Alligator mississippiensis: one gene and its partners. The protein of the gene in region 3 interacts with the protein of the main gene of each other region in a pairwise test. Links are inferred from orthologs where the notes say so. Each region holds a gene or a part of one and is shown on either strand. Other genes may lie near its edges.

Region 1 (7,198 bases), on a different chromosome or scaffold from region 3:
AGAAAAATAGAGCTGGAAGGGACTACAGGAGGTCATTTAGTCTAAACCCTTGTTCAAGATAGGAGCATCCCTATCTAAAATGCCTCATCCAAGTATTTGTCTAACATGCTTAAAAGCTTCCAGTGAAGGAGATTCCAAAACCTTTTCAAATAATCTTTTCCAGAGTTTAACTTGCCTAGATTGGTTATTAGGATGAACTTTCTAACCTAGATTTCCCCATCTTGTAATTGAAGACCACTACTTATTGTCCTGTTCCCAGTGGATAGAGTCTCCGTCTTCTTTATAAGCAACTTATTCTTTGTATTTGAAGACTGTTATCAAATTCCCCCTCAGGTTTCTTTTCACCAGATTAACCACCCTCCTTCCATGGGGAAAAGGCTTGTGTTATGTCTGTCGCCTCCAAGGTTTCTCACCTATGTATCCCATCTCCTTCCCCTCTCCAGAGGTTTCCTCTATCTTATGCTCTACTCCTTTCATCCCTAGAGTGCTTCTTACCTTGATTCCCTCCACCTGTACAGGGGTCTGGTTCTCTTTCTCCATCTCTTGTTTCACAGTGGAAGGACTCAGGCCATCAGAGCTCATCCTTCCCAGCCACTGGATGTTAGTTAGGCTGTTATCCAATGCACAGCTTGTCATCTCTCCACTGCCTGCAGAGAAATCGACCCAGAGCATTGCTCACTTATCTGCAAATACATCTCAGATGCCTTGAAGGACACCCCAACCAGGAACCTCAAAGGTATCTTCAGTGCCCCCTTAAGACATAGGTACACAATAGCACTACAAAGCTAAACAACCTTGTGGAAGTAGCCAGAGTTTGTGGTTTAATTATGGATGGGCCCTACTCCCAATTTGTAGCTTCAAGCCTAAAAAGCTAGCTTTAATTGGAATCCCTCCTCCCACCCTGTTCCTTGAACTAAAATGAGTTTCTGCTGAAAGCAACTCTTAACAAAAAGAAATTCAGGCATGTACTAGCCAGAGGACTAAACTTAGCAACAGAGGCCATGAGAAATAAAGACATGCACTCTACCAGCAGAAGCCTGGGAAGGACCTTAATGAGCTCAGCTCCTGGCAGGGATGCATGTGGTGGAGGGAGAAGGGTGCTGGCCTTCCTACTCTAGTTTGACCTCTTGCAATTACTTGAGCACCACCTCTTTCCTCAGGTTCTAGCTCACAAACATCCCAAATTGTAACTGTTCCATGTGAACTGTTCCATCTCCTCCATCCCCTAATGCCTGGAAAAGGAAGAAAGTCTTTTCAACTTTCCTTTCTCAAACTGCTGAAAGTGGTTGCTATTCTACCTGTCTGCCAGGGGCTCTTGACCATTCTGAAGGAGGTGAAAACATCCCACTTGCTCCTTCCCAAACTTCATTTCTCCATGTAAGCAACTCCATTGCCTGCTGCTCACAGCTTTGCCAACCTGCAGCATCTGCCCCAGGTTGATGTGATTCTCAAGAGCACTAAAGTCTGACTGTCTGCAAGGGCCCTGAACAGCAGTAGCAAAAAGTGAATACATTTATTTTCCTTAGTCTAAGAGCCACATGCAGCAGCAGAGCTACTACCTACAGACTGTGGAGCACCTGTACTGAGGCACATTTGCACATGTGGGAGTTTATCTACCAGCACACACATGAGACAGAGGCTTCTTTTTGTTAGAAGAGTGTATTTGTCAGCAGGCAGTGGTTGAGGTAACCCCATGGGGAAGAAGCCCAAATGGCCATTCAAGTCCAAGCTGAGAAAATATAACCTTCATCCCTGGTGTGGCACGGACCAAGTTTCTTCACGAGGGGGTAGCAAGGAAGAAGCCGCAGCTGCCAGTCCAAAAGCAACAGAGATCTCCCTTTCCTGGTATCTCTAGCTATGCATTTCATAGAAATCATAGAAAATTAGGGCTGGAAGGGACCTCAGGAGTCATCTAGTCCAACCCCTGCTTAAAAGTAGGACCATCCCCAACTAGATCATCCCAGACAGCTTTATCTAGCCAGGTTTGGAAAACCTCCAAGGATGGAGCTTCCACCACCTCTCTGGGTAACCTGCTCCAGTGTTTACTACCCACCTAGTGAGAACATTCTTCCTAATATCCAACCTAAACTTCCCTTGCTGCAACTTGAGACCATTGCTCCTCATTCTGTCACCACTGAGAACAGTCCAACCCCGCTTCAGGTAGTTGAAGGCTGCTATGAAGTCCCCTCTTCTCTAGACTAAAATGGAGTGATGTCAAGTGCCCAGCTCCCCACCTGGCTCCAGCCCCACATCTCCTAGCAAGCCTGAAGCCCAGCTTCCAAAAAACCTTTGCTCTGCTTGTCTGGAGTGCCCAGCCTGTACCGCCAGCCCCAACAAGCCCCGGGGGGAAACAGACCACTAAGACTCCGGCACTCAGGGCCGGGACTCCTGCCCCCAAGCGCGGCCGGGAGCTTCCCCGTACCACCCCCGCCCGCCGCAGGCCGCGCAGAGCCTACGTACTGCTGCCGGCCTGGCCCTGGCCCGGGGGCCCGGGGTCGCTGCCGCCGGGGGGCAGGCGGCGCGCGGGGCTGGGGGCAGAGGCCAAGGCCGTGCCCGTGCCGCCGCCGCTGATAAGGATGAACTTGGTGGGCCCGTCGCTGCCGCAGCCCTTGCCCTTGGCCGTCAGCACCTCGATGACGCTGCGCAGGTCGGCGCCGGGCGGGATGGCCACCACCTGCGTGCGCGGCAGGCTCGGGTGCGCCGTGACGCGGATCCCCGCGCCCGCCAGCTCCGCCGCCGCCGCGCCCGGAGCCCGTCGCGGCGCTTCATCACGGGCGGCGGGCGGCAGCCGCCGCCGCTTCAGGATCAGGGGCCGGCGCGGGCTGCTCCTCATGCTGGACCCGCGCCGGCGGTCGCCATGGGCCGAGCCGGGCCCCTCCCCCGCGGGGCCGGGTGGGGGGGAGGGGGGGGTCCGCGGCCGCTTCCGGGCTCAAGCGCTGCCCCTGGCGCCGCCGTTCGTGTCTCCGTTTGAATTTGGCGCCCGGCTGCTCGTTGGCGTCACGTGCCGGCCGCGGCCAATGGGAGGGCGCCCGAGCGTTCCATCCGGGGCGCGGCCAATCAGTGCTCGCGGCGGCTCCACGCAGATGGGAGGGGGTGCGGACCCGGAGGCAGGTGGCGCGGGCGGGGCTCAACTAACAGCCACCAAGCCGGGACCGGGGGGCAGGACCGCCCATAGGGTTGGTAGGGCCCGTGCCGGGCCGGCTGACGCTGGGGGCTCTTGCGGGCGGGCTCTCGCGGGGCGGTAGGGCTCGTTCCCGCAAAGGAAGGACGTGCGGAGGGGGCGGGTCGCTGCTCCGATCCGGCCGCACAGGGGTACGCAGGTGTGGCCCTGCCCCGTTTGGCTCTGAGGGAAAAGGGGCATGAGGAAAATGGGCAGTAGGGCGGGGCCGGGGGCGTGGCGACATTAACGGCCGCTTGCTCCTCAGCAGCCGAACGCCCCGCGGCCAGGTGCTGTGGGTCCGGGGGCCGCACGCTGAGCACGGGTGGGTCTCAGACGTGCCCACCTCGGCTTTTATATGTAGGTTGGGGAAGGAAGTAAGTGTCTACTTTGGTTCCTCAGCCGTGAACAAATAAATAACTGATTGGACCAAAGAAAAGACCGTTGCCTCTGTATGTGCAGAAGAGGCAACCCACACAGAAGCTGGCGCAGCACTTCAGCAAACTTTTCTGTAGCCACCTAGTTTGGTGGTTTCACATTAAAGTGTTGGTGGGCAGTGTGCACCACGTTACTATTTTCTTTTGTTTTAAAGGATTTCAACAATGTAGGGATTAATGTAGGTTGCCATTTCTAACTTAAACTGAAAAAGTCATCAATTTGTATCCAGCCTAGCTCTGTGTCTGTAGAGCAATGTATTTATTATTCCAGTCTTCATTAGAAACAGTTCTTTTCAGAGAGCTTAGGCACAATCAGAAGCATTACTTTTTAAAAGAAATTCAAGATTGCTTGGTGGCCTCAGGTCCCTCCGTTTGTTCTTTGCAGATCTGGGAGTAGCTGAGAAGTCTTCCTCTTCTCTTGACTAGCTCCAGCAAGCATCATGAAGTCTCTAAGTGGCTTCCTCAAGCCTTTTGATGCCTCCAAAGAAAAAATGCACCCGCAAGGCCAAGAAGCCAGAGCTGCTCTTCCTTGAGAGGCCACGGGAGGGATCTGTTCATCATTATGGGTCTTCTCTTCCTTTGGCTGAGAACCCAAGATGTGTTCCTACCAGACCCGTAGACCAGAATGCCTCTACTGAGTGGGTAAGTACAGGTTTCCTGCTCCTTCATTTCATACAGTGTTTTGTTTTGTTTCTCTTTTACAAGGTAATGGAGAGATCTGTACTGGATATTGGCACGAGCCAATAAATGGGTGCTTTTTCTTTATTTCCTTGTGGTTTAACTAGCTGTAGAGTTCGGAGTTGCTCCAAAGCCCACTCTTGCAAGTCACAAGCAGCTCAAGCTTTATTGCCACTTCAGGTACTGAATGATACTTTAGGGCCACTGGCAATGAAACAGAACTCCATGTCATGTACATTAGCATAATGACATTGAATACTGGGATCCAGAAAGAGAAATTGCTTTATGGATTTTATAGTAATTCAAAACCCTGTGCACAGAAAATAAAATATTTATTCTTTCATTTTTATTTTATGGATTTTTTTTTTTTGATACTTGAAATAGCTACTGTGCTGTAAGTGTGGTTGGCTGAAAGCTATGCCTAAAGTAATACCTGCCTGTTCAACAGGGATCCTGGTTTTCTCTGTTTAAAAAAAAAAATCCACAATTTTCAGATTTAAAAAAGTAACTCAAAATCCACATTTTTCTGTGATTAAAATGAAATGCCACTAATTTATATATAGTAGTGTTTCATTTTGATCATGGAAAAATGTGGATTTTGGTTACTTTTTTTTAATCTGAAAATTGTGGATTGTTTTGATCGGAGAAAACCAGGATCCCTGCTGTTCAGTTAAGGTGCTAGCTCCATTTTTGTATGCCCCTAACTGTAGTTCTTCTCTTTAGCATTTATTTTTATGTCTACTTTAACAGCTTGCTTTTCTGCTGTCATTCATACAATAATAAACCAGGGACTGTTGATGTCTGTGGCATGGAGTTAAAATTGATGTTGTACCTTGTAATGAGCTGTAGTTGCAAGGGAAGGGAAGGTTGGTACATTTGACCCTTCCCCTTCCCCCAGCTCAGTTTGTATTTTAATCTTCTTTCCATGCATTCCTTCCAGCGTCCCCCTCCCATGGGCTGAGAGGGCAATTCAGTGTCCGTTTTATTCAGTCTTGCAGTCATTTGCACTGCCTGCATGATGCCATTCTGTGCAAAGATTTTTAAATAGTTGTGCTGCTGTACTGTGGGAACTGCCTTGGTTTTAGCTGCAGCTATCACTTTGGGCAGCTCTGCTAAATAGCATTGCTACTTTGGACTCAAAACTTTTTAACAAAGCAGCCCCAAGGAGTGAGGTTTCAAGTATACATTTGAACACTCCACCAGCCATGCAAATTGGAGTTATTTGAGGTCAATTTCTATGTTGTTTGCTGCGGGGGGGGGGGCGGAAAGAAGTTCAGAGCAGATCAACTTTAAACATGTTGCAGGCAGTCAGCTATATGGCTTCTAAATCAATAAGCAAAGCACTTGCTGAGATGAGAGAGAATCACTGTGGATCTGGAACACATTGGAAAATATCCCAATATCTGGAGATGTCTGAGAAGTAATGGCTGGGTAACTAGTATTGCAGTTATTGGGCTAACTTCTCCTCTGACTTCTCCTGACTACTTATAGTGAATCCCAAGTTAGGTCTCAGGCCTCATTTCATCACTTGAATCTCAATTGCATGAATCTCCTAGTCGTAAACATTTCCTGGGGTCTGCAGTCCCCTGTGTGTAGAACCTGTGTATCCTCCAATTGTTTTGATTGGAAATCTCGAAAACAGTGGGATAGGTACTTGCCATTTTTTTTTCCTGTTTGACTTAGGTTATGGCTTGTGAAATGTTGCGCAGTAATTTAATGCATGAAAGAGACTGGTGGTTTCTAGAGTAATTTAAGAATACAATATCAGAATTCACCCCTATAATAGGTGACTTAATTATTAAAAAAAAAACTTTGAATTGCAAGTCTTCTTTGAAAAGTCTCTAAAAATGGCTGTGTGGATTCTATGTTTTTTGTCTCCATTACTGCAGAATAAATGTCCCTTTTATAAATAAGATGTGTTTTGTGCAGTGAAACAACCTCAGCTGGGGGTCTAAGAATCCAGTTAGGCCTCTTTAATACTTATCCTTCACCTACAATATTCTGGCAGAAAACAGGACAGGGTGGTGGTACCTTTAGAGATTGGCTTCTGCCTAGCTTGAGGCTAACATGGTGACTTGCCTTTTAATATTCTGGTGTCAGTTACACCTGTGCTGCTGCTTTGTCTTCCTGGTTGTATCAACAAGACTGGTGGTTTGTAAAACACAAGAAGAAACAGAATCCAACCTGCTCTTTGAACTGTGGAGGATTCAGTAGCAATTAAAGATTTATTCTATCACTAAAATAGATGCATTTAAGTATATTCAGAGAAGATAGCACATTTAAAACTGCATTTCAGAGTAGAACTGCACTTTGTGGCTATGTGAGCCTCCAAATTTTTCATGCTGTCTTGAGTGTCGAACATAGTTTGCAGCTGAGGAAATCTCGGTAAACTAGACCACGTGCTGGAAGAGGCAACGGCAGCTCTCAAATGAAGATCAATAGATACATTAGAGAAAGGGGAAGTGCAGTGAGAATGGTGTTGCTGTTTCCTTGTGGAGGAGCCAAGGAGTGTGAGGGGTTATCCCATCTGAGAGAATGGTTTTTCACCATCTCTGTTTGGCTTTTCAGGTGTCCCCGCAGTTTGAAGCCACTCTACCCATGGGCTTCAAGGGCAAGGGAGGTAAGAAGCAAAAGCATGTGTCCAAAAACTTCCAGATCCAGGAAAAGAGTTATGGATTCCTTCAAGGAGGAGGAGCTGGTCAGAAACCTGCTGTCTGCAGATTTCCTTCTCTAACTTTTGAGAATCCAAAAACTTCTACCTGTACCTGCACAAGGCATTCCAAAACTAATGCAAAGGCATGCCATGCCCAGCCCAAGACAGGCTCTGCAACAAAAGCCAGCAACCCAAAGAGCTTTCGAGAGAGAACCTCTCAGTCTCCTATTCAAGAGCTAGAGATCTTCAGTCCACCAGATATACAGACTCCAG
Region 2 (7,420 bases), on a different chromosome or scaffold from region 3:
CCTGCCAGTCCAGGGAGGCATTGTTAAGGGGAGGTGTAACAAAAAAGACATCCTGTGTCCTTGGAACAGAAACATCCTTGTGGTTTGAAGGGCTGGAGCCTTCCCATTCTCTGTCCTTGGAGCCCTGGCCCTGCTATAGTGCCTATTCAGGCAGTTCCATGTCTAGAGCTCCAAAGCCCCCATTCTGCACCCCAGCTCAGCGCTGCTCCTCCTGGTCCCGGGGTTTCCGGGCCAGCTGTGGGTTGAACTGAGAATTGTAGCAGCGTCTCCTGTCGTCCATCTCCACTTCCTCCCTGCAGCTGACTGACCCTCCCCGCATCCCAGCCAGCAGGGCTTCTGCCTTGGCTCGCTCTGCCTTCTCTCGCTGCAGCCGCTCCTGCCTTAGCTCCTCCAGGGAAGTGGGGCCAGAGGTCCTGGGATAAAAAGCAAGGGGTTAACATCCTCCTGACAGTTGGAGTGAGGGCTGGCTGGGAGCAGAAATGGTATGCAGGACATGAAGAGGGGAAGGGAAAGCAGTACAAGACTTCCCACTTGGCCTCCCACCCCTTATAGGGACAAGAGAAAGGAGTGACAGGCTGTGGGCCCTGTGGCCTGAAGTTGCTGGCATATGTAGGTAGAAGTCTACAGCACAGGCCCAGCCCTGCTCCAGTAAACCGAATACCAGGATCCAGCCCTGCTCATGTCCCACTCACCCCACTCCCTTTCTTTCCTCTTTGCGCCTGTCCTTCTCCTTGTGCCTCTCCTTTTCTTTCTTGTGTTTCTTTTGTTCCCCTTTCTTCTTCCGCAGGTACTTCTCCATCTCTATGAGGGGGTCCAGCTTCCCCTTCAGCTTCTCATCCCTGACCATGTCAGCTGCCTCCTTGCTGCAGTCTGGGGCCTCCTGGTACCAGGGTGGGTTGGTTTGGGCCTCAGCTGAACTCTGTCCCAGATATGTCAGCAGCCCAATGGCCTTCTCCTGGTGCTCCTGTGCATGGGAGGGGTATGATAGGAGTCTGAATGGAGGGGTATTCTTTTTAAGTGCAGCCTATGGGGGTGGATACTCCCTCCACTGGCCTCAAGGCCTGAGGCCCGTACTCGGGAGATACAGCTCTAAGATTTTGAGGGGTAGGGGATGGACACACCAGGGTGCAAATGCTGTGGGGCCATGGCCAAGCACAGCTGTAATCGGGGCAGGGGGGATGGACAGTGGAGTCACATCCCTGCCCCATCAGAGCCCCAGAGTGGTATGGAAGAGCTTCCATATGAGGAGAACTAAAGAGCTAGGCCTGTTCAACTTAAAAAGAGAGCTGCATGAGAGGGGACATGAGAAGGGTTTACAAAATAATAAATCCATGTCTACTTTCTTTTCACCATTTAGTATTTGCTGTCACTCATGATACAAGAACTAAGGGTCACAAAATGAAAGTGGCAGGCAGTAAGTTTAAAGGAACCTCTTTTTCACACACTGTGCAACTCAAGTTGAGAACCCGTTGCCAGCAGATGTAGTGGAAGCTGACAGCCACATTAAAAAAGCAACTGGACAAGTTCTTGGAGGAAAAGTGCAGCAGTAGCTATTGAGCCTGGGAGTTAGCAATATAGCCTGTGAATCAGAGCTTCCTGGACCTCAAATGCTGGGAGGCTGCAAGCAACAGAGGAACAATGGGAAAAGCCCTAGTCATGCCCTGTTTACTCGTCAGCATCTGCACTCTGCCTGCACGATGCAGGGGACTGGGCACAATGCACCTATAGGGTGACCCAGTCAATGACAGCTCTTATGAGTGGGGGCATCCCATCCCCACAGGTGTCCGATCAGGTCCCCTGGGGCCTCAGATGTGCCAACCTTCTTTCATTACCTTCTCCTTAAGCTTCTCCTCCTCATACTCCTTGTTCCCTGCCTTGCTGCCCTTGCCATCCTCCAGGTCACGGAAGAGGTCGACGTGATGTGGCTGCTCACCGCAGAGGGCCAGCTCCGAGCTGCTATCGGGCTCCGGCAGGGCCAAGAGCCGTGCCTTCTTCCTCAGAAACTTGGTCCGTGCCTGCAGGGGGGACACGGCTGTCAAGGGAAGGAGGGGGGTTCAGGGCCAGGACCTGCAGGACTCTATGGCTCGTTCAGTGTTGGGCCTTGGGGAAGGGGGCCAGCCCCAGGGCAGCTGGGGGGTACTACTGCTGTGCATAATAAAGGCAGCAGGGATCTGGGCTGAGATTCCACAAATTCATGTCACCCAAGGGCAAAGGTAGCTGCAGACATGGAGGAGGCAGCGTGGAGCCCACAGGGCCCTGGGGTTCTTGTCCAACGGGGGAGCTGAAATCCACACTGCTGGAAGAAGGAATGTGGCCCAGAGGCCTCCCCCTCCAGCCTCAGGGGGGGCACTTCCTAGGGAAGGATCTCTTCCTTGCCCTCTGCCCCCCAGCTGGAAGCAGTACAATCTAGCTTCTTTCCTCTCTCCCCCTGCCATTAGTACAGTTTATTCCACTTTTCTTTTATCCTTGACGCAATTCAGAAGTGGTTCAAACCAGCTCCCTCCTCTCCCCCTCCCCGCACTTTAGTCCCCAGCGATTTTCTGCGCCCCGCCCCCTCGGGAAATGGTTTGGCTCAGATTTCTGCTCCTAACATCCCTCCAAAATGGTTTAAGGCACGAGCCATCTGAGTCACGTGACCAACCCGCATGCGCCCGGGGGGGGGCGGGCTCCGCGCCTGCGCAGTGACTCACCTCCTGCTCGGCCAGCAAGGCCCGAGCCTGCCGCTGCTGCCGCTCATCCTCGGCCTGGGCCTCGTCCCGCCGCACCCGGGCCACATTGTCTTTGTTTCGCACGTGCCAAGACTTCTTGGGGAGGATGTTCATGTTTGTGCTGCAGGTAGGCTTCTCCCGTCGCTTCCGCTTCCGGGTCACGAACCCACTGGCTGATTGGCTTGCTGCGTTCTTTATCTCATTGGTGCACTAAAGTCCCCCCCACTCCCCTCGGCGCGATGTCTGCTTGGCTGCAAGGGATTCCGCCCTCGCTCTCTGATTGGAGAGCAAAACTGTGCGCTCCTTGATTGGTGCGTGATTATCCCGCCTCCCCCCCCCACCAAATTCGTGCCTGCCCCAGCGTGCGTGCTGATTGGCCTGCGGAAGCCGCCTCCCTCCCACCGGGATACTGCCCCTTCTCTCCTCACACCCACTTAACTCACCTCCCTATCTGGATTGGCTTCCTCACCTCCCTGCCCAGCCTCCTCGTCCCTGATTGGTGCACCAGAGCCACGCCCCCTGCCACAGCCCCTTGATTGGAACCACAAGACCAAACCCCACCCAGAACCATGTAATTTCTGATTGGATCCTACTACTCCTGCCTGTTGACACATTCCTGGCCCCGCCCCCACGTGAGCCCCCTTCCACCCTAGGGCCCCTAGGGGAGGCCTGAGGTCACTGCTGCGGGTGATCACTCATTCGCTGCCAGATCCAGGTCATGAACATACATGTGTGTGCACATGTGCCCACGCCCACCAAACCTCCCCTTCAGTGTCCTTCCCTCCCAGAGGCGTGAAGGCTGAGTTGCGATGTGGTAATGCCATGGCATATCCCATGGAGTGGCAGTGCCTGTCGCGGCATAGCAGCCCGGTAGCGCACCCTGTAGCAACCCCAGGGTCCTAGAGTCCTTCTCTCCCCTTCTCTCACTGCTCCCCTACCACCCGTCTCTGCTGGTGACGCTTGGCCCCCAGCAGCTCAGGAGCCCACAGAGAGCCGTGGCCAATTGTAGGGGGTGAAAAAACACTCCGGTTGACAGAGAGAGAGAGAGAAAGCTGTCATGTGATTGGTGAAGCTGGGGCAGTGCTGCCCCTGGGGAAGGAAAGGCAGGTGTAGGGTACAGAGTCCAAGGAAAAAAATCTTGGGGACCATTTTCTGCAAAGAGCCACAGCGGGGAGGAGTGGAGCTGTGGTCCACAATCCCTGCTAACAGCTTGCCTGGGGAAACCCATAACGTCTGGAGGCCAATGGACTTCACCTGGGTATGGATGGAGGTTTGATTGTTTCTGGTTCCCAGCTGTTGAATTTCACCTCCTGTTTATTCACCCTGCTGTTCCAGGCACTTACAGCAGCAGAACTCAGCCTGTCTTGTCCAGCCCAACTTTTCTATGGCTTTTGGTGATTCTCTGATGGGCAGGATGAATGGCACGGGGCCAGTTCATGGGTTGGATCCCACGCATGTGGTCTGTCTGTGGGGCTGATCCAGCACAGGGGCAGTCCATGGGTGCGATCCATATCATCCAGTGCCGGGGGGGTCCCCATGGATCTAGATATTTGGCACCAGGGGGAACGGTGGCAGCCGGAGCTGCAGCCCTTAACGCTGCTACCACTTCCCTGTTGCCAAATTCCCAAACCCGTGGGGAGCTCCGCAGGCCATAGGTTGAGCACCACTGACGTATAGCTGTTTCCTTGGCTTCCAGGACTAAACTGAGCAGTGTCACTGTGTGCTTCTTAACAGGTCTCCGTGCCCCACCCCAGAGATGGCTGCAGCTCGGGGTCAGCTAAGAGATTTCTACGTACAGCCTCAAAAACTTTGGTGCTGTCCCAGTGACTGCAGCTTCCATCCACTGGGGCCAGGGTTTGGCATGGGGAAGTGCAATTGCTTTGGCAGGTGCGGATCCAGGGCAGGTGCAGAATCATCATGAAATCAACTGGAGGAGAGTTTCCCCCATCAGCAGGGGGGTGGGGAGCAAATGGTGCCCCCTCAGCTCAGCTCTGTGATCTGGTTCACCAAGAAGACTTTGTCTCTGCCCTCCTGCAAGGGGAGCGAAACCCAGCTGGGTCAGTACTGCTGCCTTCAATTATCTCAGGGGCCCACCTCCCCTGGTATGCCAGGTCCAGGAACCTGGCTAGTGGTCAAAGCAGGCACAGTTATGCCCATGGGGGAAGTTTCCTTGTCAGCAGCAAGAAGATGAAGCTTTTGGCTTCACTCTTCAGGGTGTCCTGCTGGTTAGTGCTGTTCCTGGGGCTTAGATCCCAGATCAGAGCCAGTAGAGGGGAATGTACCCCTCTCCATCCCCATCCCAGGCAGCCAGAACCCTGCCCTAGCCCCAGGATGTGACTCACCAGCTGCAGCTGCATCTTGAGCTCCTTGACCAGGCGGCTGTAGGAGTCAGCGAGAGCCATCAGGTAGAACAGGAAGATGCTGTGGGGGAGGAGGGGACCGGCAGGGACTGAATTAGGGGTTGGCATCAAGTGATGGCTTGGGCAGGGGCCTGGCAGGGGGTACTGAGAGGAGGGAAAGGGAGCTCTGTGGACTGGGAGAGAGGCGCTGCTGTGCATGTGTGTGGGTATGCACCTGTGCACATGCGTATATAACTCCTTCACCATCCCCACAGCATCCCTGCTCTCTGTGTACTCTCAGCCGAGGGAGATTCCCCAGCCTTCTCAGCCCTCCTCAGCCTAGCCTAAATTCTCACCACAGGAGCAGGAAGAGTGGCACGATGAAGCCCAGTGAGCCCACAAAGTAGAAGAAGCCCCTGGCCAGCTCAGGCAGCCCGTCAATGGCCAACAAGGCAGCATTCCACATAGATGACTCAGCCCGGAAGGGGCCGCAGGCTTGGGACGGTGGGAGGCTGCATGAGAGAAAGAGGAGAGGGGGGACTGGTCAGGGAGAGGAGAGGAAAACTTGGACATGGGAGAGAGTAGGACCTTGGCCCTTAGGCAAGGAGTGAAAAGAACTGGGGCTGTAGCAACCAGGCAGGGGTGCGTGACAGGACTCAGCCCCTGGGGAACAAGCCAGGCACTGAGTGATGCCACTGCCCAACCCCTGCTCCCCCTGGCACAGGAAGATCAGAGAGGGGAGCAGGAACAGGGTGGGACTGTCAGTGTGGGGGTTGGACTCACGCAAAGATGCTGTATAGCGCCGGCACCCAGGAGATGGCCAGGCCCAGCAGCAGGACCAGTAGGAAGAAGAAGTTGGAGCTGGAGGCGCGGAAGGTCCGGTCGCCAGGACGGCAGTTGGAGAAAAGGGTGAGCTGTGGGGAGGGGAGAAAGGGATGGGTCCACAGGGGAGGAGAGAACCCAGGGGTCCTGGCTCCTAGAGCTCCCTGTTCTAACCCACTCATCTCTCAGAGCTGAGACAGAACCCAGGCGTCCTGGCTCCCAGGCCCCACCGCCCTGCTCTAACCCACCAGACCCCTCCGCTCCTCCTAGGGCCAGGAGAGGATCCAGGCATCTGGGGCGCACCTTCTTGAGGTAGAAGAGGAGGATGTACTTGAGGGTGTTGAGCAGGGGCAGAAGCGGGCAGAAGGAGGCACCGACCCAGCACACAGTCTGGCCGTACACCAGGTCCAGCACATTGGTGGGCACCAGGAACTCTTGTTGCCCCCAAAGCCGGGCAAGCAACACAGGGCCGTGGCTTACCAGGATCCTGGGGGAGGGAGATGAGGTGACAGGGCCTGGCCCTCTGCTCTCTGACTCAGCCCCATGGGCTCCTTGCCCTGACTCTCCAGAACCCCACTACACCCTCCCTGCCCAGCCTGGCCCAGCCCAGCCCAGCCTCCCCCTACACCCAACTGCTCATTCCTTACAAGCTTCTCCAGTCCCCACTTCCAGCTCTCCCTTACAAGTTCCCCCAGTCATTTCCACCCTACCCTGGACACTCTCCACAGCCCTTCCAACCCACAGCTCATCCCCCAGCCTCTGTCCTGCCAGGTCCCACCCCCTCTCACTTGCGGGGGAACTCCACCAGCAGTGTCACCAGCAGCATGGTCAGCAGGTCAAACACCAGCAGCTTGTACATCTCCTGCCCCACCCGGGTCTCCCAGCACTGTGGGGAGACACATCATGGCATTGTCTTGCAGTCAAGTCTGCTCCCTCCAGCCTCTCTATTCTAACCGACTCCACTTCTCCAGCTGGGAGACAACCCAGGTGCCCTGGCCTCACCGGGAAGTGCTGGTGGTTGTAGCCACAGGTACGGCAATCAAAGGCCTCGGTCTGCCCGTGGCAGGTGATCTGCATCCAGAGGGAGACAAGCAGGACCACAAGGCTGGCAAGGCGCAGGAAGACACTCCTGTCCAGGCAGAGGAGGAAGACAGAGGCGGTTAGAGGGGCCATGGAATGGCAAAACGAGGCAGGATGTGGCAGGGCTCCTCCCATCCCTGGTACCTGACAAGGGTTAATTTGATTTCTTGGCTGAACGGGTATTGCTCCAGGCGTACCAGGACCCCAAAGGCCATAGGCACTACCAGGTTGGCTCCCGTGATGATGATGGAGGGCAGGTAGGAGACCAGCAGTTCCCAGAAAGCCTTGCTCTTGGACTGTGCGACACTCTGCTGCAGGGGAGAAATGGGGGGAGGTAACTACAGCCCTCAGCGAGAGCAGGTCCTTCCCATGCCCCCTGACAGCTGCAGTGCCCTGGGGAGCGGACACCAGCCCTGTCCATGGCAGTGAGGGGTGCCAGTGGGGCTGGGGGAGCCCAGGGCAGGGCTGGGA
Region 3 (7,976 bases):
ACCATCCCTTCCGGGAGATGGGTAGGGTTGTAATGGCAGTAGAGTTCAGAGAAGTAGAGATCAAGACTAAGGGGGATTAGCAGAGCAACGGGGACAGTACTGGAACAGAGCAGAAGCTGCAGGTTGGAATTGAAGCACACTGGACAGGGATGAGTAGGGTGTCACTCGCATGGATATTTTATATGTACTGTCCGTTCACATGTACCTCAGTCTCAGGAGAGCAGATGTATACAGGCCAATATATGGCCTCCTTCCTGGGCCATCTCTGATTTTAGTTGCATGTTACAAAGGTTTCACCCACACCAAAGGAAAATATCATAGCAGGTATGTCTACATGTTCATTAATGTGCTTTTGCTAATGCGCATTAAATTTAGTACCTCCATTGTGAGGTACTAGAAAAAGGAGCATTAACTTATTTTAATGCACTTTAGTGAAAGCGCATGGTTTTTTTGGTGACGTTGTAATGCCCATTAAAAAAGGCTAATGCGCATTAAAGCACACATGTAGACGTGCCCAGCAGAGGTGCTGTAGCTGATGTTCTGCACCGGCTCTGTTCTCCGGTTGCCTCTCGAGTTTTTGTCATGCCTTTGTTTTTCATCTGCTGACATCCACATGTTCAGCAATGGATCTGGATTGTGAATGCTGGTCATTTGTTTAAATAAATGGCTTGGAAAGGGACATACCCTTGTTTGGCAACCTTTGATCTGTTGATGGTATGGTTGCAAAATTGTGTGCACAGAACGTTAATTTTTTACCTTTGATTGTATGCTAGACCTCGTGTGTGTGTGTGTGTGTGTGTTTTAACAACAAGAAAAGGAAGCTGATGAATGAGATACCAAGTCCATGACAAATATGGAGCTCCATGTATAAGCTGTAACTAAGGCAATTGCCCAAGAAACTATTTCAACTAGAAGCTGAAATGAGGGGCAAATAAACTGGCTGTTATCTGTGACCACACAATTTTTATAACATTGTGGAGAAAAGTTACTACATATATATATATATATATATATATATATATATAAAATGCAGAGGGCCAAAATCTTGCTGCCAAAATTTGACCATTTGAATTCAAGTAACAGAGCAGGTATTGTCATCTGAGCTGGGATAACGAGTCACCTCCCACTTGAACATATCTGTTTCTTAAGAAATAGAGAATGAAACTCATATATGAAGATTCACAAGTTCTTTCTCTTTTGTCACTCTTCTAATGAAAAGTCACAGGTGATAAGGAGAGACTTAAAAACTGACAACCAGTTTTTAACATCCTGTTTTGCATTTCAATTAATGTATACCTATACAGTTATTGTACTTTAGACAATACTCCAACAATCACTGCAGACATCTCCTCCACCTGCAGATGGTGCTGCCACCTTATTTTACCCTGCTATTTTTTCATGTCCTAACTGATGGGTGGGAGTTGGGGTGGGGGTGCAGAGTTAGAAATTAGCTCAGCCCTCCCTGTGTATGCTGGAGTTGTTTGCATTATTTATCACAATAAACTGTTTAGTTTCTCGTACACAAATGTTATAATTAGTGGCAGCAGCTTTAAGACGATTTGTCCTGAAATGCAATGTAATTATCACACAGATAAGATGGGGCGCTGTGAGATTTCACTCAACGTTGAGCTATTGCTCTTGGCGCGTGAGTGGGTGCATGAGAAAGCAGCAGAGCGCTCAGCAGCATTTTTGGATCATAGTGCCAAAAGCTTTTGCCAGTAGTTCCTCGGTACGGATGGTGGGTCTTACAGACCATAACAGAAACAAACATCTGGCTGCTATGAAGCAGGTATTAGCCTTTTGAAACACTGAGAGAGAGAGAGAAAACCAGAAGACAGGAAGGAGATTTACTTATTATTAGAGGTCTGCAAAGTCCTGCTGTTTTGAAATTTCTACTTGCATGTATATGTGAGACTAATAACAGATATGGTTATCTAAAAGCTATCCACTCAGCTGTAAGGAAAGAGGACGCTCCAGCAGAAGATGCAGATACGTCAATAAAATAATACTCCATTCCCCTAGAGAGGGGTATGGGCAGGGGAGGTACTTGTAGCTTGTTGAAAGTCATGTTTTTGGGGGAGGGCAAAAAGTTCAACATATAAATGGCAGACATTGTGCACTGTATGAGTGCTTTCCACAAACCTGCCACTGTGGTCCACCTGCCATACTGAATCAGGGAGCAGTACCTCTTATGGTTAACATATTGACTGGCTCCTTTAAGGGGAAGCTATGAGATGGCATGTGCCGTCAGTGGCATCAATGTAGCTTAAAACCCCCAAATATTCTCTGAAACCCAAATATTCTTCCAGAGGCACTCATGGGCCCACAGCCTGTGATGAAACAGCCACCACCACCAGCCTGACAGCTGACTTGCCAATGCCACCTTGATTAACCACCTGGGTGGCTAACAGACCTGCACATGTCTGGGGTTGCCAGATTCCTGATAGTGTCAGCAAACTGCTTCTAGTAGGAAAGCGTGGTCCCCCGGTCTCAGAGTTGCAGGCTGTGAGCCAAAACGTGCGGATATGTATCTGTATCCTAACAGCAATTGTATCTGCCGAGAAGAGCACCAAGGTTTTGAACTGCAGAAGGAAGGACTTGTAAACCATGATGTGCAGAAATTCCTGAACCCTTCCTGTCCGTTTGTGGTCATCGGTGAAGTCAGATTATCAGTCAAGCAGACTGATGAGCTTGGCACAGACCCGTGGCTTTTTGAGGTCACAGTAAATGAGAAGGAAACCACTTAATCAGGTACTGGATTCCCTTTCTCTCGTGATTGCTCCCAGGGCTGCTTTTTACAGCTTTTGCTGCCTCCGGCTGCACTCTAATGTGCAGACTGCAAATTGCTGCATGACAGCAGGCCTGTTGATGTATTGCACCTTCCCAACGGGCTACTCTTGCTCAGTCCATTGCTTGAGTCGCACGTTTTCTGCCTCTCTGAGTCTGGGGTCTCACTGCAGCATGTGGTGCGCTGCTAACTCTCAACTTTCTGTTCTCCTTTGGTAAAGACGCCTGGAATCTGCATCTGTGAAGCATGGAGGTGATGGGCGAGAGCCCTCCGTGAGGCCAGTGAGAGGCAGGGGAGAAACGTGTTGCCTTGGGTAACACAAATCAGAAAAGGAAATGATACACTAGTCCAATCCCATCATGCAGAGAAGTGACCCAGGAGGACGGCACTGCCTCAGACTGCATGAGGATGCCGTGCAAACCCCAATGGCAGCATGTGAGAACCCACTGGGTTTCTTCAGTGAGGCATAAAAACCTCATAACGACCATCATGATGTCACATGAAAATGTCATATCAAGTCACGATAATCAGGGTTAGAGTGTGGTGCTTTGAACTAATGTTGCCAACCCTCCTGGATTGGCTGGGAGTCTACCTGAATTGGCATCAGTGACTATTGAAAGCAATCTGGGGGAAGGATATTGTGAACGGGTTGAACAGTACAATTAATGATGACACTAGGTAATGTTGGGAAAAAAACTTCCCGGAATAGCTTCAGTCAGAGTTGGCAAACCTACTTATAACAGGTTTGCATGTTTGAACCCTAGCTGGACTCTCTCTCTTGAGGTCCCTTACTTCTCTACACGGCATCTCTATGATTTTTTGTTTTGTTTTGAGTTGCGCAGATTGGGATTGTGTTTGGATAGGTAAGGCGTAATATGATAGATTTGGAAGGGGGGTGTTATGAAGTGATGTCTGGTATGATATTATCCATGACGTCAAGGAAACATGTGGGATCAGATGAGATGATGTGTTTTTTGGGGGGTCGTGCTGGGTTATTTTCGGAAAATAGAAGGTGCGTTGTTTATAATGATAGAACAATGTAAAGGAACAGTCATTGACAGAATGAGTCAGACAGAATGATGATGAACTTTTTTTCAACTACTCAGTTGATCTAATAAAAGATATCACATCTACTCAAAGAACCTTGCCTACTTTTGTTGCGGTGGGATTTTGAGATGGAATCTGTGTTTAAGTTTTGCTATGTTGTGGGGATGTTTTGTGTTGCGTGGTTTTTATAAGTTTTTGAGTACAGGCAGTCCTCAGACTTATGACACAACTGGTCCTGAAAACAGCATTTTAAGTTGAAACGTCATAACTTGGAACCGATTTTCCCATAGGAACAATGTTATAAATGGGGGATTGGTTCCTGAACCAAGACCCGATACCCTATTTTCACCAAAAATAACCCAGTATTTTGTAGTCAATCACTTATAGATGAGTAATATAACTACACTAATGTCTTTCTATTGTAAATAGCAATCATATTGATTTGGAAGGACTTCTTTGAGGTGACTTTGCTGGACTTTTTGAAGGGCTCTTGGTTGGACTTTTTGAAGGGTTTTTGGCTGTGATGCACTATTTGCAGATTTATCCCTTAGGTTGGTCATCTTGCGAAACGTCTGAAGTCGAGGACTGCTTGTATATTTGTCATTCAAAAAAAAAATCTGGATGATGCAGAACTCGCAGATTTATCCCTTAGACTGGTCGTCTCGTGAATGTCTGAAATCAAGTACAGACAAGGTTCCTTGGATGAATTTGATGTCTTTTATTAGACCAACCCAAATGGTTGGAGAATAGTTATTAAGCAAGCTTGTCTGCCTATGTCCTTAGACCAACACAGCTACAACCTAAACCCCTGAAATCAAGTATTGCTTGTATATTTGTCATTCAAAAAAAAAATCTGGATGATGCAGAACTTGCAGATATATCCCTTAGGCTGGTGTATAGGGCTAGGCATCGGATCAGGTCACTGAGGCTGCAGGAACTACAGGGCTGCCCTTCGGACTACAGCGCCCAGCATGCCCCGCGCCCCGCCCGAGGACTACACGTCCCAGCCGTACAACCCAAGAGGCGGCGCGCGCGGCCCTCTGGGACTTGTAGTCACTGGGACGATGAAGGGCGGCTGCCGGGAAGCGGCGGCAACGCGCCTGCGCGGCCTCTCGGGGAGGGGGAGCGGGTGGCGGCGGCGCATGCGCGCTGGCGCGGCGGAGATCTCTCGCGAGGAAGGACGCCATTATCGCAGCCGCTCGACAAACACCACGAGAATTCGGCCCCGCACACGGTAACCGCGGCCCCCGCGGCCGCCGGCTCGGGCTGGGCTCCCCGGGGGCCGCCCTCCGCCCGGCCCGCCGCTCCCCGCCTCCACCCGCCGCCTCCGGGAGGGCCCGCGGCGGGGGAGGGGCGGCTGCCTCACAACCCCCCCCATGCAGGCGGGGGGAGGGGCGGGGCGGACCATTCCCCCCTCCCCCCCGCCTCCGGCCCGCTGGGCCTGCGCCTGGGCCTGGGCTTTCCTCGGGGGGGGGCCTTCACTGGGCGACGTGGGGGGGGGGCGCTCTTCTCTACCGCCTGGCGGGCTTTACAATTATTTTTGGTGCTTGGTCAGCAATTTTTGTGTCCCCCCCCCCCCCCCCCATTATAAATATGTAAAGTTATATTTTAAAATTATTTTTGGTGCTTGGTCAGCAATTTTTGTCTCCCCCCCCCCTTTATAAATATGTAAAGTTATATATTATATCTCCCACCCCCCCCTTTATAAATATGTAAAGTTATATATTATATCTTTATAAAGGGGGTGGGGGTGTAAAGATGTAAAGTTATATATTTATACATCATCTCTTTATAAAGAGGGAGCTGTAAGGAGGGGGTGGGGGTCGGACAAATGGGCTGAGGTGCCCCCCCCCGCCCCGGTCCCTGCACTGAGCCACCCGGATACATGCCCGTCCCCCCCAACTTTGAAGTGTCGTTGGACTCTTGAAGTGCTTTTTTTTTTTTTTTTTTTTTCTCTCTGTGATGTGGTCAAAACGAGCAGGTTTCTCATCAAAGCCGTGTCCTTCTGTTAGTGGTGGGGAGGCGAGAGCGGGGGGGTCTAATTTGCCTGGGTGTGTTTTCATTTTTTGTATCCTTAAGGGAGGGTTTTCGCAGGAGTAGGTTTTAAATCCTTGTAAATTTCATTTTTTTGAAAGCTGTGTGTTTGTTTGTGTGTGCATGTGCGTGCGTGTCCTGTCTCTCCCCCCAGTGACAGGTCCTGTTGAGAAGTGTTTTTGTTTGGTTATTCCTGGGGGGGAAGTACAGCATTTTGTTTGCTTATTTTGTCTGCAGTTTGTTACTTCTTTAGTTCTACAGTTTACTGAGTTTAACGTGTGTGTGTGTGTGTGTGTGTGTGTGTGTGTGTGTGTGTGTGTGTGTGTGTGTGTGTGTGTGTGTGTGTGTGTAGATATCTACTTGGATATCTATCTACATCTGCCTAGACATCTACTTTCATCCACTTGGATATCTGCTTAGACACCTTCACCCGCTTGGATACTGCTTAGACATCTACCTAGACATCCACTTAGACGTCTACCTAGAGATCTATAGAGAGAGTGAGCTAGATAGGTAGGTATCTATATTTTTATAGTTTCATAGTAGCTAGAGTCAGGAGGGACCTGAACAGATCATCTGGCCTGACCCCCTGCCACAGGCAGGAATGAATGCTGGGTTCACAAGACCCCAGACAGGTGATCGTCCAACCTCCTCTTGAATTTGCCCAAGGTAGGGGCGAGGACCACTTCCCTGGGAAGTTGGTTCCAGATTTTGGCCACACTAACTGTAAAATATTGCCTTCTGATCTCTACCCTAATCCTATTCTCCATCAGCTTATGACCATTGTTCCTCGTCACCCCAGGTGGTGCTGGGGAGAAAAGGACTCTGCCTATTTGCTGTTGATCCCCCCTGATGAGCTTGTAGGCAGCCACTAGGTGCCCCCTCAGCCTCTTCCTGCTGAGGCTGAACAGGTTCAGGTCCCTCAGTCTCTCCTCCTCGTAGGGCCTGTCCTGCTGCCCTCTCACCAAGTGGGTGGCCCTCCTCTGAACCCTCTCCAGGCTGGCCACATCCCTTTTGAAGTGCAAATATATATATATTAATTTCCCATATTTCTGTTAGTCTCATATGCAGTAAAGCGGGGAGGGTGGGGAGAGAAACATTTGCTGTGTAAAATGCCCTGTGCAATCACAAATCTATCAATGGGTGCATGTATAGTAATTGAGATTATCTTTAAGCCCTGAATGCTTGTGTTTTCAGTTGCGTACTTTTAATAGTTTCTGTTCACACCATGAATTTATTTCACTGCATATTAAATGAATGTCCTGTAAAATATAACAGAATGAACAATTCTTAATTGGTCCTGAGACGTTGCAGTGAACTTCCGTAAGGATGCCAGGCCTTGCCTTGGCCAGAAGCTCAGACTTGGGTAATATGCCGAGCTGCACGTCAAGAAGAATGACATGATAAATGTTTAGGGCAGTTAAAAGATTGAATCCAGTTTTGATGAATGGGAACATCCTTTTTGTTTCCAGGAGTGGGCATAATTTTTGGCTGTTTGTCCTGATTTCTGATTTATAATAACAGTAACAGCCTTTTAATGTCTGGATCCAGCAATGTTTATCAGGTGGCTGCAATGCAGACCTAAAATGTTAAGGTTCCTTAAACGAGTAATACTATTATTAACACTCAGTGCTACAGAAATCCAATGGATGCTAATTCACTGTCTGAGATGTTTAGCACCAGTATTCCACCAGTTTATATTCTGCTAAATTATTTTTTAATTTATTTTTTAAAATAATTTTAATTATTTTATCCCAACGCATGTTTCATGGACATCAGTAACGTGTTTCTGAAGCATACAAGGTGTGTGTGTGGGGAGGGTATGTATGTACATGCACACATACCAAAAAGGCATCCTGTCGATGTTCTGATTCTGCCATGATCACTTAGTATGCTTCAACTATCTAAGTCACATTTGCAGTGACTTGTATTGGCATCATGTAGGTTGTCTGTAGCCCTTATTATAATAATCATTTTCTCCAAACTTTTCAAGCTGAGTAACACTTGCCCATGAAAAATGAGGTGGAATCACAGAACATCTGCATTTTCTTTTTATCAGCATTTCCATGGTCTCGTATTTTTAACTGAAGTAGAAATTAGGTTTGGA
Region 4 (7,890 bases), on a different chromosome or scaffold from region 3:
AGCTAATAGGTTACAGAGCATAGCAATACAAGTATTATTGCTATAGTAGTATTCTAATACACAAGAAAAGCATCCTTTCTAAAGTACCGCAAATGAATATGAAACTTATTTTGGAAAAATTCATGATTAAAGTTCAGTAGAAATATTTGAAAGTTACATTACCTGGCACATGAATGAAGGAATCACTCTGTGAAAGGTGGATCCTTTATACCCAAAACCCTTCTCACCAGTACAAAGAGCTCTAAAGTTCTCTGTCAAAACAAAACGTAAGTCACTACCCTGTAACATCAACATCAATATCTTTTTATTTTGGATTCAGTAAAAATGGATTATCAGTAATTTAGGTCCCAAGTTAACATTCTTACAGTCTAATACAAATAAAAAGATTATTAATAGCTTAAGTGTTTGTTTTGCATGAATGAATCGTGTCTTTTTGAAAGCTACAGCCCTGGAGATGTTCCATTTACCCTCCAAATAGGGCACAGTACAGAGCATGAATGCGTTTTTCACTTATGTGCCTTCACTCCTGCTTGAAACATCCTTAGGAATCAGAGTTCGGGCTCCATGCCTCTTAAACGTTTTCTCTGTTTGAAAATTGTAATGGTAGCATTTTTCTTGTGGCCATCTGTTTATGAGTAACTGGAATAAGAAAACCAATGCACGGAGATCATGAAGTAGCCACAAGAAAGAAAAACCGATCTTGCTTACTACCTTCACAAACCGATTTCTGTATCTCTATATATAGAAGAAAGGGGAAGTCAGTCTCATTAACAGCCCCTCAAGCTGCATCATCTCAGTTCCACAATTCTTCTTTTTTGCATTTCAAATGATAACTGTGGGGTTTTTTTTAACCTTGTATTAAAACTTGTTTGGACAGCCTTGGCAACGCACACACATCCCTCACTTGCCCGTGCATTAAAAGTGAGGCATCAAACTGCTTTTGGGACAAATGCCATGTAAATATTTTCTACATTTAAAACAGAACTTTGGAACAAGTTTTTCCAGTTTCTGAAAAATTCTCTTAACGAAACTGAAAGAGAAACTGAACTTCTCTTAGCTGTATTCAAAACCTTAAAAGGCCAAAGGTAGACAAAATTTCTAAGATGCTTTCTTACCTGCTGTCTTCGGAACTACATCAGCTTTCAGCTGTTGAAACAAAACAAAGTCACCTTTGATATAAAACATGTCAAGATACAGGAAAAGCCGAAGACACCTATAACTTTTGAACTAGGGAAAGCAAAGGATGAAAGAAGAGAAAGAAATTCATTGCACTGTTTAAGATTGGTTTTAGCAGTATTTAAGAACTACAATTAGCAAAACAACATGAATGTTATGAACTCATAACTTGGATCCAGCTCACTGTTCAAAGCTACTTTGAATTATCCCCACAACTAGGTAACTTCCAGCAGTGACCAGTCTTTGAAAAAAAAGTTAAGTTAGGACAGACACAGATCACATTTAAACAGATTTCTACTGCTGCTCATCTGTATTTATAACCAACTTCATTCATGTTTTGGAGGAGATACCAGATTTTTAACAAAATCTACTCAAGTCAAGTAATGGTGAGCATCCATCTTTTCAGACTGGTACACAAATGTACTTGCTTGTTTTCAGCTACATCTTATCTTTTGATCAATTCAGACCTCAAATTAGCGCAACTACAGCTATCATTTTGAAGCCATAAGCATTATCAAATTCACAAAGTCCAGTGTGGTGGCTGCTGTGACAGCTGGGGAAGTGGCAACTGAACTGTTTGGCTCCAGAGTGGAGATGTGAGCTGCTAAAGATCATGGTTGGTCCAGCTGGGAGTGTTTTAGACCCATATCCTCTGGGGCAGGGGTTCCCAACATTCGTGCGCCCAAGGGCACATTTGAGTTTAAAAGAAAAAGCAGCAGGCACCAATATGACAGCATTTTTGCCGGAATCATGATTTTTACTGATCGTGAACATATGCACAGGCACCTGAATAAACCTTGCAGGGTGCCGTGGCACATGCAGGCACCACATTGGGAACTGCTGCTCTGGGGAATGAGCCATGTGGGAACCCCATAACACTAACTGGACTAACAATATTGCCTCCTAATTACAGTCTCTGGGAAACCATGCAGTCAGGAAAAACAATGCAACAGCTTTAACTTCAGTCAGAAAGAGTCCTCTCTTTATAACACCCTCCAAACACTAAGAATGGTCTCATGAGGGCAAGTGCAAGACCCTCCATCTGCAACTGAAGTATTTACACATGGTTCACTTGTTTTTAATCACTGATCTCTAGTCTACTTGGTTTTTGTTAATTTCTTGGAGCAATTATTTGAATCCCACGTTCAAAAGTGTGGATGCAAGAGTGCACGACAAGGCCAGAGCAACCTCTCTTGCCAGCCATCCCAATGGACCTCAGTGCCTTGCCACCATATGCTGAAGGACAAACATTTCGGCCTTCCTGTGCTCGCAGGGGAGACGCGACATCTATCAGGGCTTCAAGCAGAGAAGCCCGAACCAGGATTGCTCTGGCCGGGCCTTTAAGGCGGCGAAGTTAATTTTCAGGTTTGCTGAACAAGCTTCCCCCGCTGCAATGAGCAGGAGCCCAGTTTCGGGCTGAGGAGCCCGAGGACCGAGACAGGAAGGAAGCGGGGAGCCGGGAGGGCCAGGGGGACCCCGCGCCCGTCGGGAAGGAGCCGGCACCACCCGGGCGCGGAGCCCGCGGCAGCGCCCCCTCCCCCGCCAATGCGCGGCGCGGCGCGGCGCGCGGGCCAAGGTCACCTCGAGCACGACGCGGCCCAGCGGGCTGGCGTCCGCCTCCACGTCCAGGAACACGACGGGGTTGGGCGCGCGGGCGCTGCAGCCCCGGCCCGGCAGCAGCAGGCGGCCAACGGCAGAGCCCGGCGGGCGCCCCGCGAGCAAGCGGCGGGCGGCACCCAGCACCAGCATCCTGCGGGCGGGGCGAGCGAGCGAGGCAAGACGAGATGCAGCGTAGAGCAGAACAGAAGTGCCGGCGGTGCCGCGCGGCCGCTCTTTAAGGGCTCCCCGGGGAGCCGCGCGGCGCCCCCTGGCGGCGGGGGGCGGAGGCGGGCCCGAGCGGCCGCCAGGTGCGGGAGGGGCGGGGCGCGGCCGTGGAGCCCGGGGGAGGCTCCGGCCCCCCGGCTGCGTAGTGCTTCCTCCGCCCGCGGCGGCCTTGGCTGGGCCTCAGCGCGCCCTCGCAGGGCACCGGCAGCCTCGTGCTGCTCTGCCCCGGTGTCAGCGGGCAGTAGAGATCCCAGGCAGGGGCCTGCCCGCTCCAGAGCAACCCTCGCCCCAGCGTGCGGCAGCGCAGCCCCGGGGGGCTGACACTTCTTTCTGGCCCCAAGTGCTGCGCTGTGCTGCGGCTCGCCCTGCGCAGAGAAACAAAGCGCGCCCGGTGGCCTGCGCTTCCCGCCAGCTCACGCTCGGCCTTGCCCCAGCACTGGCCACATGGAGCAGGCCCCTGCAGTTGTCAGAGCTGGACCGTCCCTGTCCAAAGGCGTCAGTCCTTGCCCACCGGCGGGGCCGGTCTTGCCAAGCATCCTGAAACGCTCGCGGAGCCAGCGGGCTTCCAGCGCTCGCTCCCTGAAGGGTGTTTAGAAGAGAGACACCTGAGGTGGGCCGTGACAAGGATTTACCAAATACTAAATGGCAAAGAGAAAGACAATAGATTTATTAGTTCCGCTCTCTTGCACTACAGGGTCTAGGGGTCACAAAATGAAACTAGCTGGTAGTAAGTTTAAAACCCAAAGAAGGAAGGTCTTTTTCCCACAGTGTATCATTCAAGTGTGGAACTAATTGCCATCAGATGTTGTGGAAGCTGAAGGTTTAGCTAGCTTCAAAAAGGTATGGGACATTCTCGCAGGAGAGGTGCATCAGCAGGGAGGTGACATGCATCTCAGTTTCTTGTCTGATCGAGACCCCACAGTCACTATCCTTAACTATGTTTCCAACTGTTACACAAAATAGTTAAAACAGAGGCATGAGCAGCTGTTGCTGCACAATCATTTAGTACTTTGCTCACATAGTTTTTTCAGATACAGACTGTACAGTAGCAACGAGCTGCTGCTCAGTAGTGTCTTGTGTAGATGCACCCACTCAGTACTAATTGTGATAGTTATCACAGGAATTAGATCTCTGAATGGTACAAAAGATACCTGTGAGAACCTCTGTTTTAAAATTCAGGTCCCTCTATAAAAAGTTGAGAGAACCCCAGATTGAGACTGACTGCTTTGGAATAAGAAACATGAGGTTCTCCCCCCCCCCCAATCAGAACTGGGGCAAGAACTCAGAAGTTCCTCCTTAATTGCAGCTGTTCAAGGTGAAATTCAGTTCTGTCCAGAGGACCTGCACTGAGGCACTGAAAATAGATTTAATTTTTCTGATAATATAACAGTAGGTTATGTTTCAGATTAAAGCAGTATCATCCAGTCTAGGGTTTTACGCTCTTTCCTGCATCTCAATTCTTGTCTATTTTTGCTGTGGTGACAGGAGAGCCTTAAGTTCCCACCATATACAATAACAGTATTCCCAGGAGTTGTCAAATGACAGTACAGAAACTTTTAGAGGGGACAAAAGGAGATTAATTCTATCAATTAAAATTAATAGCAGACATTATTAAGTTTTAAAGAGGAAATTTAAGATGTTCTGCCAATGCCCCAATTCTGCAGTTAATAGTTCACTCACATTTCAGTGGCAAGAGTCTTAACTAATTTACTGATCGGCAGGGATCCTGGTTTCTCTGTTTAAAAATCCCTAATTCTCTGATTAAAAAAATCAAAATCTGCAAGTTTTCGTGCTTAAAATGAAACATCATTATATATACAGGTATCAGTTGAATACAATGTCTTATTGATATATTTACAATTTAAAAGCAGTTTGGAAGCCTATTAGTGCCTCAATCATTATAATAAATTCAGTTCTAAATACCTATATATTTTGGTGTTTGATTTTGTTTTTTTTATCATGGAAAATCAGAGCTCCCCCTGCCCCCTTAGCTCACCAGGATGCAGGTCCAGCTGTGGCTGTCTCTCCCCCCACCCCTGCTTTGTGATGCTGAGAAGCCCTGATATGCCCCTCCTGACCCACAGACCACCCCCCCAGCCCTGTTGGTGCCCCCCACTTCTGAAGCACTGGCCCTCACCTTCAGCCCACACAGTGTGTAAGAAATGCGGTGGTTCTGTGGGGAAGGGGGTGTGTGAGCACAGGTGATGCATCAGGAGGGTTGGGGAGCCACAGGTGACTTGGGGAGGGGTGAGAGAACACACTCCTCTCCCCCCCCCCCAGATTTCTGTGCCCACAGCGGGGTGCAAGGATGCAGCTGAGACAGACTAGCTCCAGGCAGGAGCCACCTCCACAGCCCTATGGGCAGGACCTGGCACAAAATGGAACACCGTGCTGCCATGCCTGCCAACGTGAGGCATGACGACGGTGTGGAGTTGTTCCCTGCTGCTGCTGGGCAGGCAGGAAGCACCTCATCTCGTGCTCGGTCACCTGCTGGGCTGCAGAGGCAGTTCCTGCCTGGAGTTGGTGTGGCCCAGCTGCAGCCCCGTGACCTGCTGTGGACACAGAAATCGGGGGGGGGGGGCATGTACCCCCTTTCCCCCCTCCATATCACCTGTTCACCCAGCCGCCAGGGGCACGCGCTGTTCATGGTGGCGCCCCCTGCATCCCACTCCCCCCAGCCCCAAAAAGCCCCTTACAGGGCTCTACCAGGCTGCAAGGGGGAACCCATCATTTCCTGGGTTTTTCTCCTTTAAAGGAGAATGTCCATGTTTTCCTGTGACATACAGAAAACCCAGATCCCTGCTGATCAGTAGTATGTATTAGGTTTATAATAAGCATTGTATTTAAATTGCCCAGAAGTGGGGTACAAATACAAATCAGTGATATTGTTGATGCAAACTTCTCTATGAGGTGATTTAACCTGGACATGTAGTGACCAACCATGATACAAAACATATCATTACATTTTTCGGAGATGGAAGAGTAAATGTGAGAGTGGCTATTGAAGGACTTGGGAATCCACCCACAAAGAACTGAACAGAAGCTACCAACTAATTTTATATGAATCCCAGGACAACCTTTGCATGAGACACTTGGAGCATTAAAATGTGAAGAGTAATTTATTGAATTGATTATCATTATAACATGCCCTAGCTAGTGCCATGAAGCACAAGATCAAACACAAAGAGTCATTAGCTACCCATCATGTACAATAACCTTTAGAAATGTGCTGCCTGGAGCATTTTATTACCTATTATGAAATGTTTTTTATAAATAGATGGATGTTGAATGCTCATAGCCACCTGCCTATGACATGTGTATGACATCACAAACTTCTAGAAACCTCCACAGGTATCTGGGATACTAAAATGCTTTCATAATACTGTACAGTTTCCTGTTTCTACCTAGGACATTATTATAACGGGTGCTGAGTCAGTGTGTCATAATAGCATATCATAGTGTTTCAGGTTGTAGTGTATAATGAAAAGTTTGGGGGTTTTTTTAAACCCGACTTAAGACATTATTTTAAAATTATGTACATTGCATTTTTTTATTCAATTCATTCCAGACCATTCTTGCTCTACTGAAATCCAAGGTAACACTCCCATTAATTTACTGGTAGCAGAATGAGGCCTTTTGTAAACCAGCATAAATTTTTCCTGCCACACCCATTAAATGTTTCTAAATATTTGTAAATGCATATACATTTTGATTGGGCTTATCTGCTAGTTACATTGCAATTGAGTTCCATATTCTATTACTACAGTGTAGCACTGTCCAGAACGGTGGATGCTAGGGCTGTGCGAAAAACTATTGTTTTGTTTTGACACCTGTTTCACCGCTTTGAAGGAACAGTGTTTTGTTTCATTGTTTTGTTTCATTTCAAAGCACTGTCCCGTTTCGTTTCATCACAACAGTTCTGCTGTTTCAACGTGTTTTGACGTTTTGCCCATAGGCTATAATGGGTAATCATGAAAATGCCTAAAACTTTGTAATTTCTTGCCTGATTTGGATGAAAATTGCGGGATGGTAGCCCCTTCTGAGGGCATGAAGCCTACCCAAGTTTCAAGGAGATAGGTACAGAGGTTTCTGGGAAACTGCAGCTCAAACTGTTCAAAGCACAACTCCTGGCACTTGCCAGCAACAGCAACCTTCTCTCATTTGGCCTGCAAATCCGGGGGCTCTCGCCCCTGGGAGGAGTCCGGTACAGTCCCACAGTGCTTCAAAAGCTAAGTGCTTCAACACCTGAGTGTTGACTTTCAAGCAGCACTGATGCAAATATAGCTTATAGGGATTTCTCTGGGAAGTTTTCTATGGCTCTCAGGGCCCAAACTGCTGGATAAAAGATTCTTCAATCCAGCATCAACACGACTTTTCCTCAAGCTACTCTGCTTTTTCCCCCATTTCCTCCGTGCCAAAACAGTGTCTGGACCTTTGCTACCACTCCTTCATCCAGAAACATTCACTGTGGCCATGAACACTTGAACTCATCAAAGGAATAGTAGGCAGCTATTGCTGGAGTTTCAATACCTATTTTTGCTTAAAGGCAATGTTACTATTTGCATGTTTCTAGAGGCATATGCAGATGGTAATGTATGGCCTTTGTGGGACACCTGTCTGAATATATTTGTGAGGTTGGTTTTCTTCATAGTTTCATAGTTGGTAGGGTCGGAAGGGACCTGAGCAGATCATCAAATCCGACCCCCTGCCACAGGCAGAAAAGAATGCTGCGGTCAGATGGCCCTGGCAAGGTGTCTATCTAGCCTCCTGTTAAAGACCCCTAGGGTAGGAGCGAGGACCACTTCCCTTGGAAGTTGGCTCCAGATCCTAGCCGCCCTGACTGTGAAGTAGCACCTCCTGACATCCAGCCTGAATCTGCTCTCTGTCAGC

What was found.
Region 1: the proteins of BANP (region 3) and FOXM1 interact in binary tests that used the Homo sapiens proteins (3 or more experiments, as listed by UniProt). The link is inferred for Alligator mississippiensis from reciprocal best matches to the Homo sapiens genes BANP and FOXM1.
Region 2: the proteins of BANP (region 3) and LENG1 interact in binary tests that used the Homo sapiens proteins (3 or more experiments, as listed by UniProt). The two-hybrid records come from large-scale screens. The link is inferred for Alligator mississippiensis from reciprocal best matches to the Homo sapiens genes BANP and LENG1.
Region 4: the proteins of BANP (region 3) and PPIF interact in binary tests that used the Homo sapiens proteins (3 or more experiments, as listed by UniProt). The two-hybrid records come from large-scale screens. The link is inferred for Alligator mississippiensis from reciprocal best matches to the Homo sapiens genes BANP and PPIF.

The regions. Positions count from the first base shown.
Region 1 is NC_081827.1:143,899,542-143,906,739, reverse strand, and holds the start of FOXM1 (forkhead box protein M1), read right to left. Parts: upstream 3,006-7,198; 5' UTR 2,834-3,005; coding exon 2,461-2,833; intron 648-2,460; coding exon 496-647; intron 1-495. UniProt on the Homo sapiens protein: Transcription factor regulating the expression of cell cycle genes essential for DNA replication and mitosis. Plays a role in the control of cell proliferation. Also plays a role in DNA break repair, participating in the DNA damage checkpoint response.
Region 2 is NC_081828.1:38,487,623-38,495,042, forward strand, and holds the start of LENG1 (leukocyte receptor cluster member 1), read right to left. Parts: upstream 3,001-7,420; 5' UTR 2,823-3,000; coding exon 2,691-2,822; intron 2,016-2,690; coding exon 1,833-2,015; intron 965-1,832; coding exon 693-964; intron 414-692; coding exon 197-413; 3' UTR 1-196. Other genes in the region: TMC4 (transmembrane channel-like protein 4), read right to left, coding at 4,689-4,739, 5,051-5,129, 5,404-5,559, 5,831-5,961, 6,173-6,356, 6,658-6,755, 6,872-6,998, 7,094-7,260.
Region 3 is NC_081833.1:74,474,542-74,482,517, forward strand, and holds the start of BANP (protein BANP), read left to right. Parts: upstream 1-4,962; 5' UTR 4,963-5,069; intron 5,070-7,976. UniProt on the Homo sapiens protein: Controls V(D)J recombination during T-cell development by repressing T-cell receptor (TCR) beta enhancer function. Binds to scaffold/matrix attachment region beta (S/MARbeta), an ATC-rich DNA sequence located upstream of the TCR beta enhancer.
Region 4 is NC_081829.1:33,534,910-33,542,799, reverse strand, and holds the start of PPIF (peptidyl-prolyl cis-trans isomerase F, mitochondrial), read right to left. Parts: upstream 3,004-7,890; 5' UTR 2,926-3,003; coding exon 2,758-2,925; intron 1,147-2,757; coding exon 1,116-1,146; intron 252-1,115; coding exon 163-251; intron 1-162. UniProt on the Homo sapiens protein: PPIase that catalyzes the cis-trans isomerization of proline imidic peptide bonds in oligopeptides and may therefore assist protein folding. Involved in regulation of the mitochondrial permeability transition pore (mPTP).